Astyanax mexicanus: one gene and its partner. The protein of the gene in region 1 interacts with the protein of each later gene in a biochemical or structural test. Links are inferred from orthologs where the notes say so. Each region holds a gene or a part of one and is shown on either strand. Other genes may lie near its edges. The genes, in order: prpf40a and mecp2.

Evidence for each region.
Region 2: the proteins of prpf40a (region 1) and mecp2 form a complex in vitro, tested with the Homo sapiens proteins (2 studies listed by BioGRID, with this or other methods). The link is inferred for Astyanax mexicanus from reciprocal best matches to the Homo sapiens genes PRPF40A and MECP2.

What each region holds. Positions count from the first base shown.
Region 1 is NC_064418.1:29,811,841-29,819,583, forward strand, and holds the start of prpf40a (pre-mRNA-processing factor 40 homolog A), read left to right. Parts: upstream 1-4,505; 5' UTR 4,506-4,548; coding exon 4,549-4,551; intron 4,552-7,289; coding exon 7,290-7,370; intron 7,371-7,476; coding exon 7,477-7,617; intron 7,618-7,743.
Region 2 is NC_064419.1:4,149,926-4,158,856, reverse strand, and holds the start of mecp2 (methyl-CpG-binding protein 2), read left to right. Parts: upstream 1-5,230; 5' UTR 5,231-5,374; coding exon 5,375-5,406; intron 5,407-8,931. Other genes in the region: uncharacterized protein LOC103030869, read right to left, coding at 454-611, 1,652-1,825, 2,986-3,224. UniProt on the Homo sapiens protein: Chromosomal protein that binds to methylated DNA. It can bind specifically to a single methyl-CpG pair. It is not influenced by sequences flanking the methyl-CpGs.

The DNA of each region.
Region 1 (7,743 bases):
TCATTAAAAAAACACTATTTAAAAGTGCAGCGTAAAATTGTCAGTGTTCTGTTTTAAAGCAGCTTCACGCTGCGCAGATACTGTATGTATGTGGTAGTATGTTTGTGCCTGTGTGAAACCAAACCAAACAGAGGGAGAAAACACTCTTAGTAAACAAATTCATCAACTGATCCCGGACCATAGAAACAAACTACAGGTGTAAAAACATTTTTTTAATACTCAGCTAATTAAGTTCTAATTAAAAAATTCTAACAAACAAGCTTAGATGTTGACTTTATCTTGACTTTATCTCTCCTAAAATATACAAGTATATATTAGTATTTTAATTGACACCACTAATATAAATATAATTGTTTTTTACATTTCTTACATTCATTCTTTTATTTACATTTAAATATCCACTATAACAATTTGTGTCTTCAGAAGAACAAAAGTGATTAATCGCTGTTAATCCAGAATATTGACTACATTTATTAATCGACTGACACCACTACTTTAAATATATAACACCTAAATTCAGTCTGAAGATTTTCAGCAAATATATTGAAGTGAGTCTGCTTTATAACCCATTTTTTTTGCTTTGAGATGTTCTATAATTCAAGCCCCATATGTGCCCATGTTCTCCACGGTCTCTCTCTTTGCTAAAAATGGTCAAAGCAGCTGGCAACAATGGCACAGCGATAGACCTTACAAGACCACCATGTGCCTGTGTACAATACAGAGAATTTTGGAAGGCTTTGAACCCAGCATTAGGCTCAGCTCAAACCTCAGGGATGATAACCAATTACATGAAAATTGCTTTTTCTTTCCCCACATATCCGCTTGTGCCATGTCATCCTGCTCTGTCTCTTTTACCAGTGTGAAAGAGCGCCTCATTTTCAGCCATTAAAGCTTCTAATGGCTTATCATTTGAAAGTGAAGAACTGGCAGCTCCTCATAATGATTAGCTGATGTTCCATATTAAACATAAAAAATATTGGACACCATGCAAAAAATATATTATGTTAAAGACTGATGTTCAGTTCCTCAAAATTCTCCCCACATTTTTTTTTATGTTCTTCTTACTATACCCAGCAGCAACACCGGAACATAAGGTTAAAAATTCCACTCAGCGCAGGCTTGTTTGAAGTCAAACAGAACTGGGTGGCATTGTGAGGGTGCTATATTTCAGGCACAAAAATGAATCTCAATCCTCACGGGGTGAAAGAAATAAATTTTTCGGGGTAAACTGGAACATGTGGCCAATTAAAGCAGCATGACGAATGACCATGGCAACACAGAGACAGACAGATTTTTACCAGCTACCTGCAGAGAGTTTATAAATAGATCCTGTGTCGGACGCAATATTGTTTTCGCCCGCTCAGAGTCAGCTGTGTACTGTACCATGGGAGGCTGCACTGATTGATTTCCCTTGTGTTACAAATGTCAGAAGTTTGGCTCGTATAATATTTCTCCGCTCATGATGCAGTCGAACAATTAGACCCTTCCTCATTTATTATTTAAGCAGCAGCCTCATAATAACATGTAAACAAAAATAACTGCCCGAGTCATTAACCTAATGGTTTCACTTAATTTGCATGCAATTTAAATAAAACACCTACCAAGACAATAGAATACAACAATAAAACAAATTAAAATATTTTTACCTTTTAATAAAAATAAAAAAAACTTTTGATACGATCAATCACTAAAGAGATTCGTACAGATCACTATAAAACCTGCTTCTTAATTAAATATTTGAGTTAACATACAATACTGGGATCACCTAAGCCAAACTAACTAGTAAATTGAAAATTTACTAAAAAAAAATTAAGACCACTTAAAAACGATGATTTTCTTTGAAAAATTGATAACCTCCGGAATATAATCAAGAGGAAGATGGATAATCATAAGCCATCAAACAAAGCTGACCTGCTTGAATTTTGCACCAGGAGTGGCCTAAATTCATCCAAAAGCAGTATGCAAAACTGGAGGAGGAGAACATGCCAAAATGCATGAAAACTGTTATTAAAAACCAGGGTTATTCCACCAAATATTGCATTCTGAACTCATAAAACTTTTAGTTTTTTTACTATTTGAGGTCTGAAAGGTATACTGCATATTTTTTGTAATTTCAGCCATTTTCATTTCTGCAAAATAAATGCTCTAATGACAATATTTTTATTTGGAATTTAGGAGAAATGTTGAAGCGTAGTTTATAGAATAAAACAACAATGTTAATTTTACTTAAACATATACCTATAAATAGTGGTCTCTTAATTTTTTTCCAGAGCTGTATATCTTCTATGGTGTCATTCAAACCCCTTTATTCTACCTTTATTCTCAAGATTGTATAATTAATAATAAGAAGTTTATGCACTGTTTGCATGCACTGTCTTGCCTATTGACTCCAGCTAAAAAGCCAGCACCACCATGCCAACAAACTGTTTGCAGAATTGAGCAGAAAAAAAAATTAAGAGCATAAAATGTATTAACACTCTATATTTTTCACTCTGAGCAAATCCTGTAGTCTGATTGATCTCAACTCTTTGGCCACAGAGATTGCAGGTGTGATTGATGTAAGAGGAAGAGACATACATACATCAAACAGAGCACCATACATAAAATATGGTGAGGGATATTTGATGCTTCTGTGTTGGAGAGAATCTGATGTGCTGGAAGTGATCCTGTATTGGTATTTATTTTTGGTATCACCTTATTTTTTTCTAAGGGCAAAATGCTACTATCAGGAGTATAAGGAGGTCTTTCAAGATGATTTTGAAGTAGATATGGGAGCATAAAAAGTACATATTTATATATCTGGCATAATAATAATATAAATAAATATACAATTATATTATGTAATTATTGTAAAACTACAGTTTCAAAATCATATTGATACATTTAACTGCAATTGGAAGCATCTCTGCTATTACAACTCTGGCCTGAATCTCTGATATGTTGCTAGATCATTGTCTTGCTGACTGTATGTATTTTATATCTTTTTCACTTTGAGCTGTATGGAAAACCTAAAGTGTCAAAATATGTTTTTATCTACTTTAGAACTTTAAACAGTATCTCACAAGTGAGTACACCTTTCACATTTTTGTAAAAATTGTACTTTTCATTGAACAACACTGAAGATTCTTTGATACAATGTAAAGTAGTCAGTGTACAGCTTGTTTAAGACACAGCCATTAATGTCTAAACCACTTCCAAGTGCACCCCGAAGTAAAATGGCCAAATTGTGCCAATGTCAATATTTTGTCAATAGGGATTAGGTCTGGAAACATGCTTGGCCGGTCCAGCATCTTCACCCTTAGTTTCTTAGGAAAGGCAGTGGTCAACAGGTCAAACTGCCCTGCGGTCTAGTTTCCAAAGGGAGGGGATTGTGCGCTGCTTCAGTATGTAAGGACATGTTGGCATTCATGGATCCCTCAATTAATGTAGCCCCCCACAGCCAGACCATGCTTAACTGTAGGCAAGACACACTTGTCTTTGTACTCTCCACCTGGTTGCTGACACACATATGTGCCACATTCTGAACCAAATAAGTTTTTTTGTCTAATCAGACCACAGGACATGGCTCCAGTAAGCCATGTCCTTTAATACAGTGTTTGGCGTTTGGTCTTAGTACTCACCCACCCCTTTTAACTCTGCAGCAATGCTGGCAGCACTCATGCATCTATTTTCAAAAGCCAACCTCAGAATATGCCGCTGAGCATGTGAACTCAACTTCTAAGGTTGACTATGGTGAGGCCTGTTCTGGATGTAACTTGTCCTGAAAAACTGCTATATTGTCTTGGCCACCATGCTGCAGCGTAGTTTTGTACAGCCTAAGCCATCTTTATGCAGAGCTACAATCCTTTTTATCAGATCCTCAGAGAGTTCTTTGCAATGAGGTGCCATGTTGACTACAGTGAAGGTTCTAGAGGGGCAACAGGGGCCAGTATCCCTCCCACAACACACTTGGACCCCCCTATGGTCCCCCAAGAATCTCTTCACGTCTACAAACATACAAGGAAAGCAGCACACTAAAGTAAATACTAATTTTACTTCTGCGTCAAACCTATGCCGTAGCCTGACGCACACCTCCCCAGAAATGTAACTGTGTGACGCATATATTATCATCATCATTATTATTGCTAAGCTTAGTTTATCCTTTCTCTTATTATTTAAATTTTTATTGTTCTTACTTTTTATTTACTTATTTTTATTCTATATTGATTTTGATTTTTGATTTTGATTTTTAGTCCATTATTATTCATTGTAGCATTTCTTATCACTCTTATAATTTTATTTTATCATTTACTTTTAATATTAAAACAATATTAAAATAATTATATAAAATAGCATATATTTTGTGTAATAAGTTTCATGATAACTACAAAAAAAGTCCCGCTCAGTTTAACCTCAGTCGGTGGCTGGTTCTGCGCATTGTGTGCGCATCGCGGAGGGCCGAAAGGCAGCGCTCTGTTTCCCTGAACTTTGGGTTTGAATGGAAGAGCCAATCAGAGGGCAGCTTATTGCGTGGTGGAGGAGAAGTTGGGCTGCTAATGTGGAGTCAACATGGTGAGTTAATGAATCCGCTGTGTGTAAAGTGCTGGATCGGGTTGGGTTTGGGGACAGTGAGCGGTACAGGGCTGGGTTCAGGGGTTTACTGTGCTGGGTTTGGGCTGGGTCGGGTCTCGGGGTCTCGGGCGGCGGGGTTATCTCAGTGTGTTGTGCTGAGAGTGGGTGAGTGTTAGCGGGCTGCGCTGAGCTGCGCTGTTCTCCGTCATTCTCCCCCGGCTGCTTCATTCAGCGCTCAGCGACCAGTTTATACTAATTTATATATAAACTACAGCGGTCCTGTAGCTCCAGTTTAGCGCTGCGCAGCGGGGCAGCACCTAGAGCCGTGTCTGCGCCCCGGTCTGTGTCCTCAAATCCTCAATATACACACAAAGAGAAGAGACTGAGCCCGGCTGTGGCTATAGCGAGCTAGCCGAGCTGTCTGTGAAAGTTCAGCTCCTTATTCTTCAGTGTATTTTATTCATATTTTTCCTAATTATTATTAGAGTAAATTTACCTTTTTATAAAGTAGCTAAGTTAGTCTGTTCTTCCACAGGTTACTGAGTTTAAAACTCTGACGTTACTGAGTGATTAGTTCAGCTAGCTGTTAGCTGGGTTAGCAGCCTAGCTTCGTTAGCTAGTTCTCTATTATAAACACATCACATCAGAGCATGGCTGGGCAGTTAATTTACCCAAGGGGCCACATAACATAATACACAGTGACATTTGTGTCATAGACCTTTTAAAAGATGTGTAAATGTCCCTACAGTACTCTGTCATTCAATTTAAACCCCTAAAATGCCTGGTACTGTAAACAGGCTACAGGTGTAGGTGATACAAAACCATTTTTACTGCAGTAAAGTAACTTATTTACATTCTGAAAATTTGAGGGCTTTGAAATCTCTTGTAGGACACTTTGAGAAGCTACCTGTTTTCTCTCTATTTCGCTTAATAATTCCAGATCAGTAACAGGAATTAAACCCTAATTTTGCATGTTTGAAAATAGACGTAAAAACTAGACGAACATAATGAAACTAGGGTTGGAGGACATAAACAGTTTGATTTGTATTCAGGAAAATATTGCTTTGGAAATGAAGTTTAGAAAACAGCCAATTTTATTATTTTATTCATTATATTTTGACATTAATAGATTTACTTATTGTTTTATATTTTTCTATTACAGTTACTATTGTGCTTTAGCTTTTTATGTAGTGCTTAAAAAAAAATCTTCAAGATTTACAATTGACAGGAGGTTAAACCCGTCAAGTTCATAAGTGACACTGAACATCCTGAGAGCATCACTACAGGACAGTGTGTGAAATCTGTGTTTTTTTCACCTCACCAGATTTAGCTGTTAGCTACCAAATTTAGGTAGCTTAGCTCATTTCAAAGTGTTCAAAGTTTTTACTTCTACAGGTCTGTTCCAACCAAGTTTAGATGTTACAATTAGGCAATAAACATGTGAAGCAGGTATAGGTATATATAACCTAAATACCGCTATTATATTATGTCATTATTTGACCAATATAAACACATTAACAGCAGTGAACAAAATGTTCATGTGTTTGCAGTAAAAAAAAAAAAACTCACTTAATACAAAGTACTATGTTTGTCTGCTATTTGGTCATAGTATAATAAACTGTTTTACTGTTTTTAGGCCTGTATTGGTATTTAACAAGTGTAGTAAAGTCTGGTTTAGTTTCTGAGGTGGATATGTTAAGGGCCTTCTATAGGAAAGCAAAGGGTCAGATGTGGCCCCTGGCCCTTAAAATGCCTAGGTCTGCATTACAGTCTCTGTCTAACATAGTTAGGCTAGCAAGCTAGGTAACAAATCACTTAGGGGTCTCGGGTGTAAAAAGTAGCTAATGAAAGTATCTAGCTAGAATGTTATAAATTGATGTAGCTGGTTATAAAGTTACCAGCAAATGTTATCTAGCTAACTCATTATAATATTGAATTATTATTATTATTATTATTATTATTATTATTATTATGTGTTTCCCACTAAATAAACATTTTGATGATGTGTTCCAGAAATTATTGGTAAATTATTGCTAAGTGGTTATTGTTATTTTTTTGCTGCATATTTTCCAATTTAACAGGATTTGTTTACACTCTATATAATTAAATGTACAGTTGGGTCATTTTTCTTTAAGCACTGATAAGGTCCTAATTAGATTATGTCAATATATTGAATAATAAGTTGATAACAGTCATTGTATATGGTTATAATATCAACAGCTGGACCTCATCCATCCATTTAAAATATGCCCAGGTGGGGCCTTTATGGGTAGCGTAACTCTGGCACCCAGAAAGTTTTAATGTTGACCCCACAAATGGATGTCCGTGATGGTGGCTCATCAGTGCATTGCACAAGCGGCTCATGTGAGATAAAGATGGGCTGTAACAATATGGATCGTTACACATGTACAGTCCCACTAATAGCCCATTCCCATCTGATATTCACCTAGCACTCAGTCCACCCATATGAGCCCCACATGAGCATGTTGGCTGTGCACCTCAAAGGCATGCACTGTGTTGTGTTGAGTTGTGGTCCACCATAAACATTTTAGTTTCAGGACTGAATTTTACTTCAAGCTTGCTGGTGCTGGATGTGTACTTTTCCTTTTTGCTGAGTTCTTGTTTTAAAGTCTCTGTTACATTAAAGGATAACAGTAACATACTCACCAGAAGTTTTTTAGAGCATCTGTTCCTCAGAGCTGCGGTGGTAATTGTATGGGCTCTCTTGTTCATGACAGTCCTCTGCTGATGGTAATAATGGCCCAAGCCAAGCACCACCTTTTCCTGGTGTCCCACCCTCAGGGATGCCACCGCCTTTTGTAAGTTGGTGTTGGAAAGCAGTTTCTTGTGTTTTGTTTTGTATTGCTAATCACAATTTGTAGCCTGAACTGTTTTTCCTAATGTGTTGCTTTGCTTCTCTCCAAGATGGGACCTCCGGGAATGCCGCCTCACTTCCCACCAATGGGAATGCCACCGATGGGCCAAAGGCCCCCTAACATGGCTCCCATGCCTCCAGGGATGATGCCCCCTATGATGCCCCCAATGGGAGGTCCTCCAATGGGTCAGGTAAGAAATTACATTTGAACAAGGGTCAAATCCTGTTTTGCCATTTGCAATATTACTGTCAAAAAGATGCAAATTTTATAAAAGGTCTTGCACTTTGAATTCTACTAAATCTACTGGAAAAAGACT
Region 2 (8,931 bases), on another chromosome or scaffold:
TTTTGTTTGTAGTTTATATAATAAAACAACAATGTTAATTTTACTCAAGCATAAACCTTTAAATACCAAAATCAGATAAACTAATTCAGAAACGTATATAATAAAACAATTATATAATAAAACTTCATATAATTTGTTTCTTTTTTCCCCTGGTTTCATTTAAGATTTTAAAGTATAAAAGATACAGAATAGCTGCTGAGTTTAGGAGTATTTGTCTGTCTGTGATTTGTCTCTTTGTCTAAATGTATTTATGTATCGATCGTGAAGGTGGTGGTCCTCTATAACACACCCAAGTATAGGCCATTAAGCTTTTGGTACTAAGGAGAGTCCAATAAAATGAACATGTGTGTCAACTTCCTTTCCCTAAAGTTACACTGGAACTTTTTACTGTTTCTACTGTTGAGTTTAGGTATTTTACTGTGCAATAGAACCTGGACCTCTAGATTAAATCACCGTTTGTGGAGTCCTGAAGGGTGTTTTTGAGCTCCTCTCCGTTGCGCAGGATGGTTTCCTGTGATTTGAGGGCTGCGCTCTGGGCCTCTACAAGATCCTCCGCCATCCTCTGAGTGGACGCCAGCTGCTCGGCCACACTGGCTGAATTCTCGGTCAACCTGACACAGAGAGGCTTATAGTTTATATATTAAGGAAAAGAGGCTGCATTTTTACAATACAGATTAAGCTAGAAATTGTAAAAAATTATAAAACATAGATTCCGAAAAAAGATAATCCTTCATCAACATTAAATTTAGCCACATGGAACTGGAATCTATACTTGCAAAACAGTAGATATTCTATACAGCTAGTAAAATATTAGGAGCCTATTTTCCAGAACTTAGATTTCCCAAAATAGTATCTTTACAGTTCCTTTTTTTTTTTAAGTGACGCTACTGAATAACTATAAAAAAACCATAACATTAAAATAGTGCTGGGAGGATAATTGAATCAATAAAGTCATTAATCAAATTGCTGTTTTAGTGCAATCATAAAATTATTAACTTTTACATATAGGGGAATTTCTCAAACCGAAAGAAAGAAAGAAAGAAAGAATATAGGGGAATCTCTCAAAACAAGAAAGAAAGAAAGAAAGAAAGAAAGAAAGAAATAAAGAAATAAAGAAAGAAAGAAAGAAAAAGAATATAGAGGAATTTCTCAAAACAAGAAAGAAAGAAAGAAAGAAAGAAACACTCATATATATATATATATATATATATGAAATATAAGAAGGTTAAATTTTGCACCTAGTTGTTCATCAACTGATTGTAAGGTTTAATGGATCTGTTAACTATATTTAAAAGAAGAGAAATTAAACTTTTGTTTTTATATTGGCTTTATAGCATTTTAATTGGGTTTTGATGAGTTTGCTTCCCTTAAGATTAAAATGTAAAATAAACACATTTGACAGCTCAAACTGACGCAAATATAAAACTTAAACAAAACGTGTTTCCAGTTATGTACTAACAAACAATCAAAATTGTAATTGTTCATTTAACTAAAGAATATTGAGATTGTAAAAAAAAAAAAAAAGTTATCCAGTCCTACACAGAAAGTGTTTCTTCCTTGATGAGGCACAAAAAAAAGAAACAACTTTAAAATCAGTGAGTAGGTAATGACCATGAGTCTGGACCTCTCGCCCAGAATCGCCCTTTCCCACCTGTGGATGGTGTTTTCTGCCCGATTCTGCCACTGCTCGCTCTGCAGGTAATGGCAGATGCTGTGGGCGTGGGTGAAGAACTCTGTGTAGGTGTTGAACGCGACAGGATCCATGTCACGGGTGCAGACTTTAACATCGCTGCCCTCAGGGCACTCTGGGAAATTACGTCCGGACCTACAATGAAAAAACATCAAACAGTCACCTGATTGGAGCACACAGACTGTATGGCGGTTATATAAAAAGCATTTAGTCTTTTTAAACGGGCAGGACAAAGCTGAGCTCTCAGGTCAGCTCTCTAGGGTGGAGTTAGATTACAGTAGCAATAAGCTGAATAAATCAACGTCAATTTATTTGTCTCAGAGCTACTATCAAATGAAACAGAAACAGACAATAAACAATACATCATTAGCTTCACAGCAGCCCAAGGCTATGCAGCTCTAGTAACGCTGATTCACATTCACAACGAGCAGAATCTGACAGTTCAGATACCAAAAAGGAATTAAAGCTGATATATCTGTGCTTATTTCTATTACATAGAGGCCCAGTTTAAACTTTTTCAAATGTTTTCCTACATTGTAAAATAATATGAAGCATCTAAATCTAGAATCACTTTACTAAATAATTCCATATGTTTTTATTCATAGTTTGGATGGCTTTAGTATCAATCTACAAAATGTAAATTATGGAATATTATATCCAAATCTTTAAGTGGTACTGTGGGTGAATATATAAAATACAAACTCTCATTCAGAACATTAAAATAAAAAAATATATATATATTTTGTACATTATTTTGTACTATTATTTTCCATTACATAACCATGTTTAGCTTTCATTCCAGATCAAATAAAGCAGGGTAAGGGTGATCTGATTAAATGATGAAACATTATTATTTTTAAGATTGTAGTGTTTTATAGAACGTATCGTCACTGTCCAATGAAAAACTAGTATATCCATTTTTGTAATTTTTTTGTTTATTACATAATTTTAACAGACAAACTGTCCCTTCCACTGTGCCAAAAATTTCTTGATGAACAGACCAATAGAAATACTTAAAATTGAACTGAAATAAACTCTTTTTACATTGACTTCCATTGAAAGTTTAGAAGGTTTTTTTTCTCTTCTGTAAAAAGGAGACACTTTTTTTAATTGGACAGTGAAAATATAGAGTTGTATAGAAAATGGATGAAAACCTATGCATAGTATTGTAGTTAATGATGCTCGTTTGGCATTTTTAAAACACTAGTTATTCGTCTAACCGTAGTAATCAGTCGATTAATCAATTAATAATCGAATCAGTCCTATTAAGTGTGTGTGGTGGGTGAATCTGAGACCTCCTCAGGTGGCAGTGGGTGAAGGCCACGGCTATCATGCTCTGCATGTCCGCGGTGAACTCCCTGCAGCCCGTGTGGATCTTCTCCAGAGCCCGGCTCCAGCACTCCCCGTACCGGGGCTGCACCGCCAGATCCCGCACCTTCCGCAGCTCATCCCGGCCCTTCTCCTCCAGGGTTTTATCCGCGGCCACGGCGAGCAAAACCCCAGCAAACCACCACAACTGCACCCCAACGCGCATGGCTTACCGCAGCTAACAGGCCCTGGATTCAGTAATGGGAAAACCACAGCGTGGAAGCCACGCCCACAAACCCCGGTCCAATCAAGACAGAGCCGACGGTCCAATTAAGCTTCGTGCAGGCTGATTGGAGAATTAAGAGGACCTTCTATGGAGGTGTCCTAAATCAACCACTTGCTCCCTAAGTAGTGAATTGAGCCTAAAGAAGGTAGGCTTTGTGACACATGCTAATATTGTTTTTTAAAACTCCCAGACCTAGTTTAGCGTCACTACTGGATAAAATATAGAAACTAAATAAAAGTATCTGAATAAAATGTTTTTTATTTTCATGTTTTAATTATATTTTTTGTACTAATACTATTACAGTATTTATTCCTATTCCTACTATTTTCTCTTTGTCTCGCTGTTTTGTTATTTTTTGGTTTTCCTTTGTGAAACTTTAATTAGAACTGCAATATTTATATGAAAATGTTACGTAATTATTGTATTATTATTATTATTGTTAGTCACATTATATTAATTATATTTTTACAGCTTTAACAAGAATTATATCACTTGAATGCAAATTTAAAGTTAGTGGTTATGTTCAACAACAAGTAAAACATTTATACAGCTGAACTATATCACTATATCTATATTTATCTATAGCTGAACTTCATCACAGAGAGTTCTGAGGCAGCTGTGATACGGCATAGGACTCCAAAAGGAATTAGACATATTACTGTATGCTTTAACATTTGTTTAGATGTATAGTATCACTACTTGCCAATGTCAGCATTTAAACTAAATAATTGTGCTATGAAATGCCAAAAAGCATTTACTAGTGGGTGGTTTGCAGTGGATGTGGCATTAAGTGGGTATGTATTGGCAATATTAAATTGAAAATTAATTGACAATTTTTGAGGGCCAGGGTTAGGTTTGTCCTGAGTTTTTGGTTTTGTAGATGATGCTCACTCTTCTGGTTTACACTGATCGATACAGTGTGAAGCTTCTTGGTCTGATTATATTTCACTGATCTTAAAATTGGTGAAAATCAAATAAGCTAGTGTTCTGAAAGCATGCGGTTATGTTCCTATGTGCCATAAACGGATTAGAATCGGGTTAGAGAATTAGAAACTGACAGGAATAGGAGGTGAGCAGCAAGTAGGGCATAAAGAAAGCAAAATCATGTAGCCTGAAATTAAAAGTGTTTGTCTTAAGGTAGATAGTATAACAAGGTGTGTTCAAACTTTTGACTGGTAACGTATAATTTACAAGACAAAAGAATTAAAACCTACAGTACAAATCTTAACATTAATGCATAAATTAGGATAAAATATTAATGCAAACTCTGGAAGTAGTTCCCATCAACTGCTTGGCAGTCAAAATAATCTTCTAATTATCTAAACATCATAAACATCATAAGTTTTAAAATTTCACCATAATATTTATATCAGTGTACAGCAGGGTTACACCGTGAGCTCTACACTGTAAAACTCGAACAAAAACACAGTGCAAACAGATAATGTAGTTTAGCCTGTCACAATAATTGTATTATCAATGTCCTCAATATTTATTCCGAATTAGAATATTGTCTATTGTGTTTGTTCACATTCATAAAAGTGAACAGTATTTTAGCCAATGCTTCAAAAAAGTATATTATATAGTATATTTCCCAAATTATGATTAATCGCAAATTTGTTGTCGTTAAAAGTATATGATTGCTTTGCTGTGTTATTCTGTTATCATTATATTTAATGGTCATAAACTGACAATACTATTGTTAATTAATAATTAATCACAATAATTACTGGGACGATATATCAAGATATATCAATTTTATTACAAAATACAAAAAACACATAAACACCCTCCTATTCAGATGTAACAGTATGGTATTGCAGTGTGTGTGTGTCTGTGTGTGTACCCCCCTCTCTCACTCGGCCTAGACATACATTCCTCTCCGATGATTGCCTGCCCCCCCCCCAGTTCTCGCGAGAAGTGCTGCCGCGCAGAGCGGGACAGAGCGGCGGAGCGGCCGCGGAGGTCTCGCGAGATGTGCAGCAGAAGCGATGGTGTAGAAGAGGGAGTGGGGAGAGGGCGAGGGGCGCCCACAAAGATGTTGCGTGATTTTTTGGGGGAATTTATTTATTTAAATAATAAAATATAAAAAAATGGCCGCCGCGGAGAGCGGAGAGGAGAGACTGTAAGTGCAAAATTGCTGTTTGTTGAACGCCGTAAAAACCGCCGCGGAACCGCTGATTCAAATGTCGGGCGCCGCACAAAAAAGCGCCGCTGCTGTTGCGCAGTATTCATTGTAGCTGTACCGGAGCCGCTGTTGGGCTGCGAAATAAATAAATAAAATAGTAGTGCTGTTAGCTCGCCGCGCTAGCCCGTTAGCCAGCTAGCCAGAAAGGCGTTGAGAGGATACGTCACCTGTATTTCCCCCTCTGCCTTTCCCAGAATCGCGGGGGATACGAGCGAATAGCTACTTTCCGCGCGGCTGTTCGGTTAGCTAGCTTAGCTCAGTAGCGGGAGAGGAGCAGGAGGAGGAGGAGGTGTGTTTTGGGTCGTTTTCTGACCTCACTCAACTCTCTGCGAGATAACCTGGCTAGCTAACTAGCTACTACCTCCAAACCTCTCTCTTTATGTGTGTGTTCTCTCGTGAAATACTGTAGCTAAGCTAGCTAGTGCCTCTCTTGCTGCTTGTTGTCCTGCTTTCTCCTTCTTCTCTTTCTTTTTTTTGACGGTTCAAAACTGAACCCGTTCACCCCACCGTGCAGTTAGTTGAAAATAAGTTAGTTAGCCAGCCTGCTATCTATCTGTCATACCCAGAAACCTGCTTCTGCTGTTTTCATGCTTGTGCCTTCTCACAACAATGTTAGTAACTGAAAAACACACAAACTCGTGTCATAGTCGCTTTAGAGCACACACACACAAACACATGTATATGTTAGACAGGCTTGTCTTGTTTGTCTTGTTTGATGGTCAGTCAACTAGTTGGCTTAGTTAGCTTGATGTACAGTTACAGCTGTTGTCTCTGGTCAGTTGAGTTCAGATGGAGGTTTTGCGTTTTTTTCTTTGGGAGAGGATGAGCTGGGGTGAGTGCACTCACTCTGAGCACAAGACACTCCCATCTCATTTCAGATTTCAGGTTAGTTTCTGTACCAAATGGGCCACAACACAGTGCTGCTTTAGGTTGTCACATCTTGGTCATCAAAACATCACACAAACTCTTAGCCTACTACCTGCTCTCACATGGTGGCCTGGTTTGGGGTAATTTTCTGAAATCACTGGCTAGCTAGCTAACTAGCTCCTATCTCCAAACCTGTGCATGTGTGTTTTTTTGGGAACAATTTTTTTTTTTAAATGTGAAAACGGCACCGGTTCACCCCACTGTGCAGTTGAAAATAAGTTAGTTTGCCAGACTGCTATCTGTCATTTCCAGAAAGTTGCTTTTGCTTCTAATGTTTCCATGCTTGTGTCTTCTCACAGCAATAATACTAACTAAAAAACACATAAACTTGTGTTATAATGCCTTTACATTCACACACACACACTTGCTGACTGTTTCTGCTATTTTGTTTGATGGTCACTCACCTAATTTGATGTGCAGTTACAGCTCTCAGTTCAGGTCAGTGAGTACATATAACCTGAAATCATCCACATTTTTCGATGGTCATTCTTAGCAGCATAGTGTTTTTAACCCAACTAACTTCACATGCTATTGCATCTGTTGCTGCTACTGAGGTGGATACAGGTGACAGTTCAGTTGAGTTCAGTTCAGTTCAGTTGGTGGCTTTACTTTTTTGTGTTTTCTTTTTTTATGTGGCTTGAAAACTATACTAAGTTTGCTCATGCTTGCAAATTATGCATTTGGATGCTTTTTAAGAGAGATGAGGACACCCTTAACCTCCAAGCACATTCTTTTCCGAAGCTGTAGTAGTGACAAACATTACCCGAACGTTTGTTGTAGAACATCTAATGCTAGCTTCCACACATGCTGGCCTGATTCTGCGGTCTGTTTGTGTGCACATGCATGCAAATTACTTAGTTAATTAGTTAGGATGGTCTTGTTTGATTATAATTGAACTACCTTGACATACAGCTGTCAGTTCAGGACATTTCTGCTTAATGTTGTTACACCTTGGGAATCAGACTTTCACCCAATCTCGATGTAGTGCCTGCTTTTATATGGTGGCCTGGTTGTGCTTTCTATGGCTTTACCATCCAAGTTAGCAAATTTGTAGAGAAGATAGTTAAACAGTTGGAGGCTTCCATGGAAGGATGAGGACACTAGTATATGTAGTGCTTGCTTTCCGCACACACACACACATATGCTGGGCTTGCCTTTTTGTCTGTTTACATACATATGTTTGCAGGTTTTTTTTAGCTAGTTAGGCTGGTCTTGTTTGATGGTCACCAACAACTTGCCTGCTGTGCAGTTATAGATGTCAGTTTAGGTCATTTGAGTTCAGATGGAGGTTTTTCTTTGGGATTAATGAGCTGGAGTAAGTGCAAGTGCACAAGACACTTCCTTTTAAGTATATATGTGATTTAAGGGTAATTTGGTTGCGTTTCCGATTTCAGGAACACAACACATTGCTTCTTGGATGCATTCTGAAATACCCATCTACATATGTAGCTTCTTATATGTTCTCACATGTGGGACATCAGACTGATTTTCCTCTTGTCATACTTTCTCATATATATGCCTTGGAGATTTTCTATGGAGGTTGGGCGCATTGTGTTCAACTACACATCTTGCGTACAGCCACATTAGTGACCGGAAATCGGAAGTCTTGACTGGCTATTATTGCTAAACCATGCTAACTTTATATGCAGATTGCTTCAGTTGCTAACATCAAGGTGGATACAGGTGATTAAGCGCTGCTCAGTTGAAGGCTTTGTTTGGAAGGATGAGCTGAAGTTAAAGTACACAAGGCAAGACACTCGTATTTGAGCAGGCTTGTGTTGTGATTTCAGGGTAATATGTTTAAACTCTATTGCAGGTTAGTTGCTGTATCAAATGCGCCACAACACAGTGCTTCTTGTGTACTTTCCTGAAGAACCCACACTTCCTGTGTATTGTCACGTTAGGTACAGGGTGGGTGATATGACTAAATACCTCATACACTGCCTGGCAAAAAAAAAAGTTGCTGCCTAAAAAAATCACACTCTAAAATTTCGTTTAACTTTTAGCATTGATTGTGGCATTGTTTTGATAAGCTTCTGCAATGACAGAAGATTTATTTCAATCAAGTGTTACATTTTCACCAAGATTTTGCACTGATAATGGTAGAGCCATCAGGAAAGAAAAAATCCATTGATCCAGGAATAACATGGTCTATATTCAGTATATTCAGGTAGTCAGCTGGCCTCATTCTTTCAGCACATACTGTTGCTGAACCTAAACCTGCAGACCAACTGCAGCAATCCCAGACCATCAGATAGTTTGTATTGTGGTATTTTTTTTTGTTATTACATACTTTTTATAGTGTATATATAAGGCTTTGAAGAGACAATGTAAAGAGGAACTTATTGGGTTGACAAAACACAATTTTAACAGAATATCTTTTTTTATTTCATGGCACGAGATCTCATCACATCTCTAGCAGCTTTTTATCTTTTGGGTTTCAGTAAAATAAAATATTTTCAATTATTTATTTCAATCATAACAAAAATATATAATGTTAAAGTCTTGTCTCATTCTCGTCTCATGAACCCAATA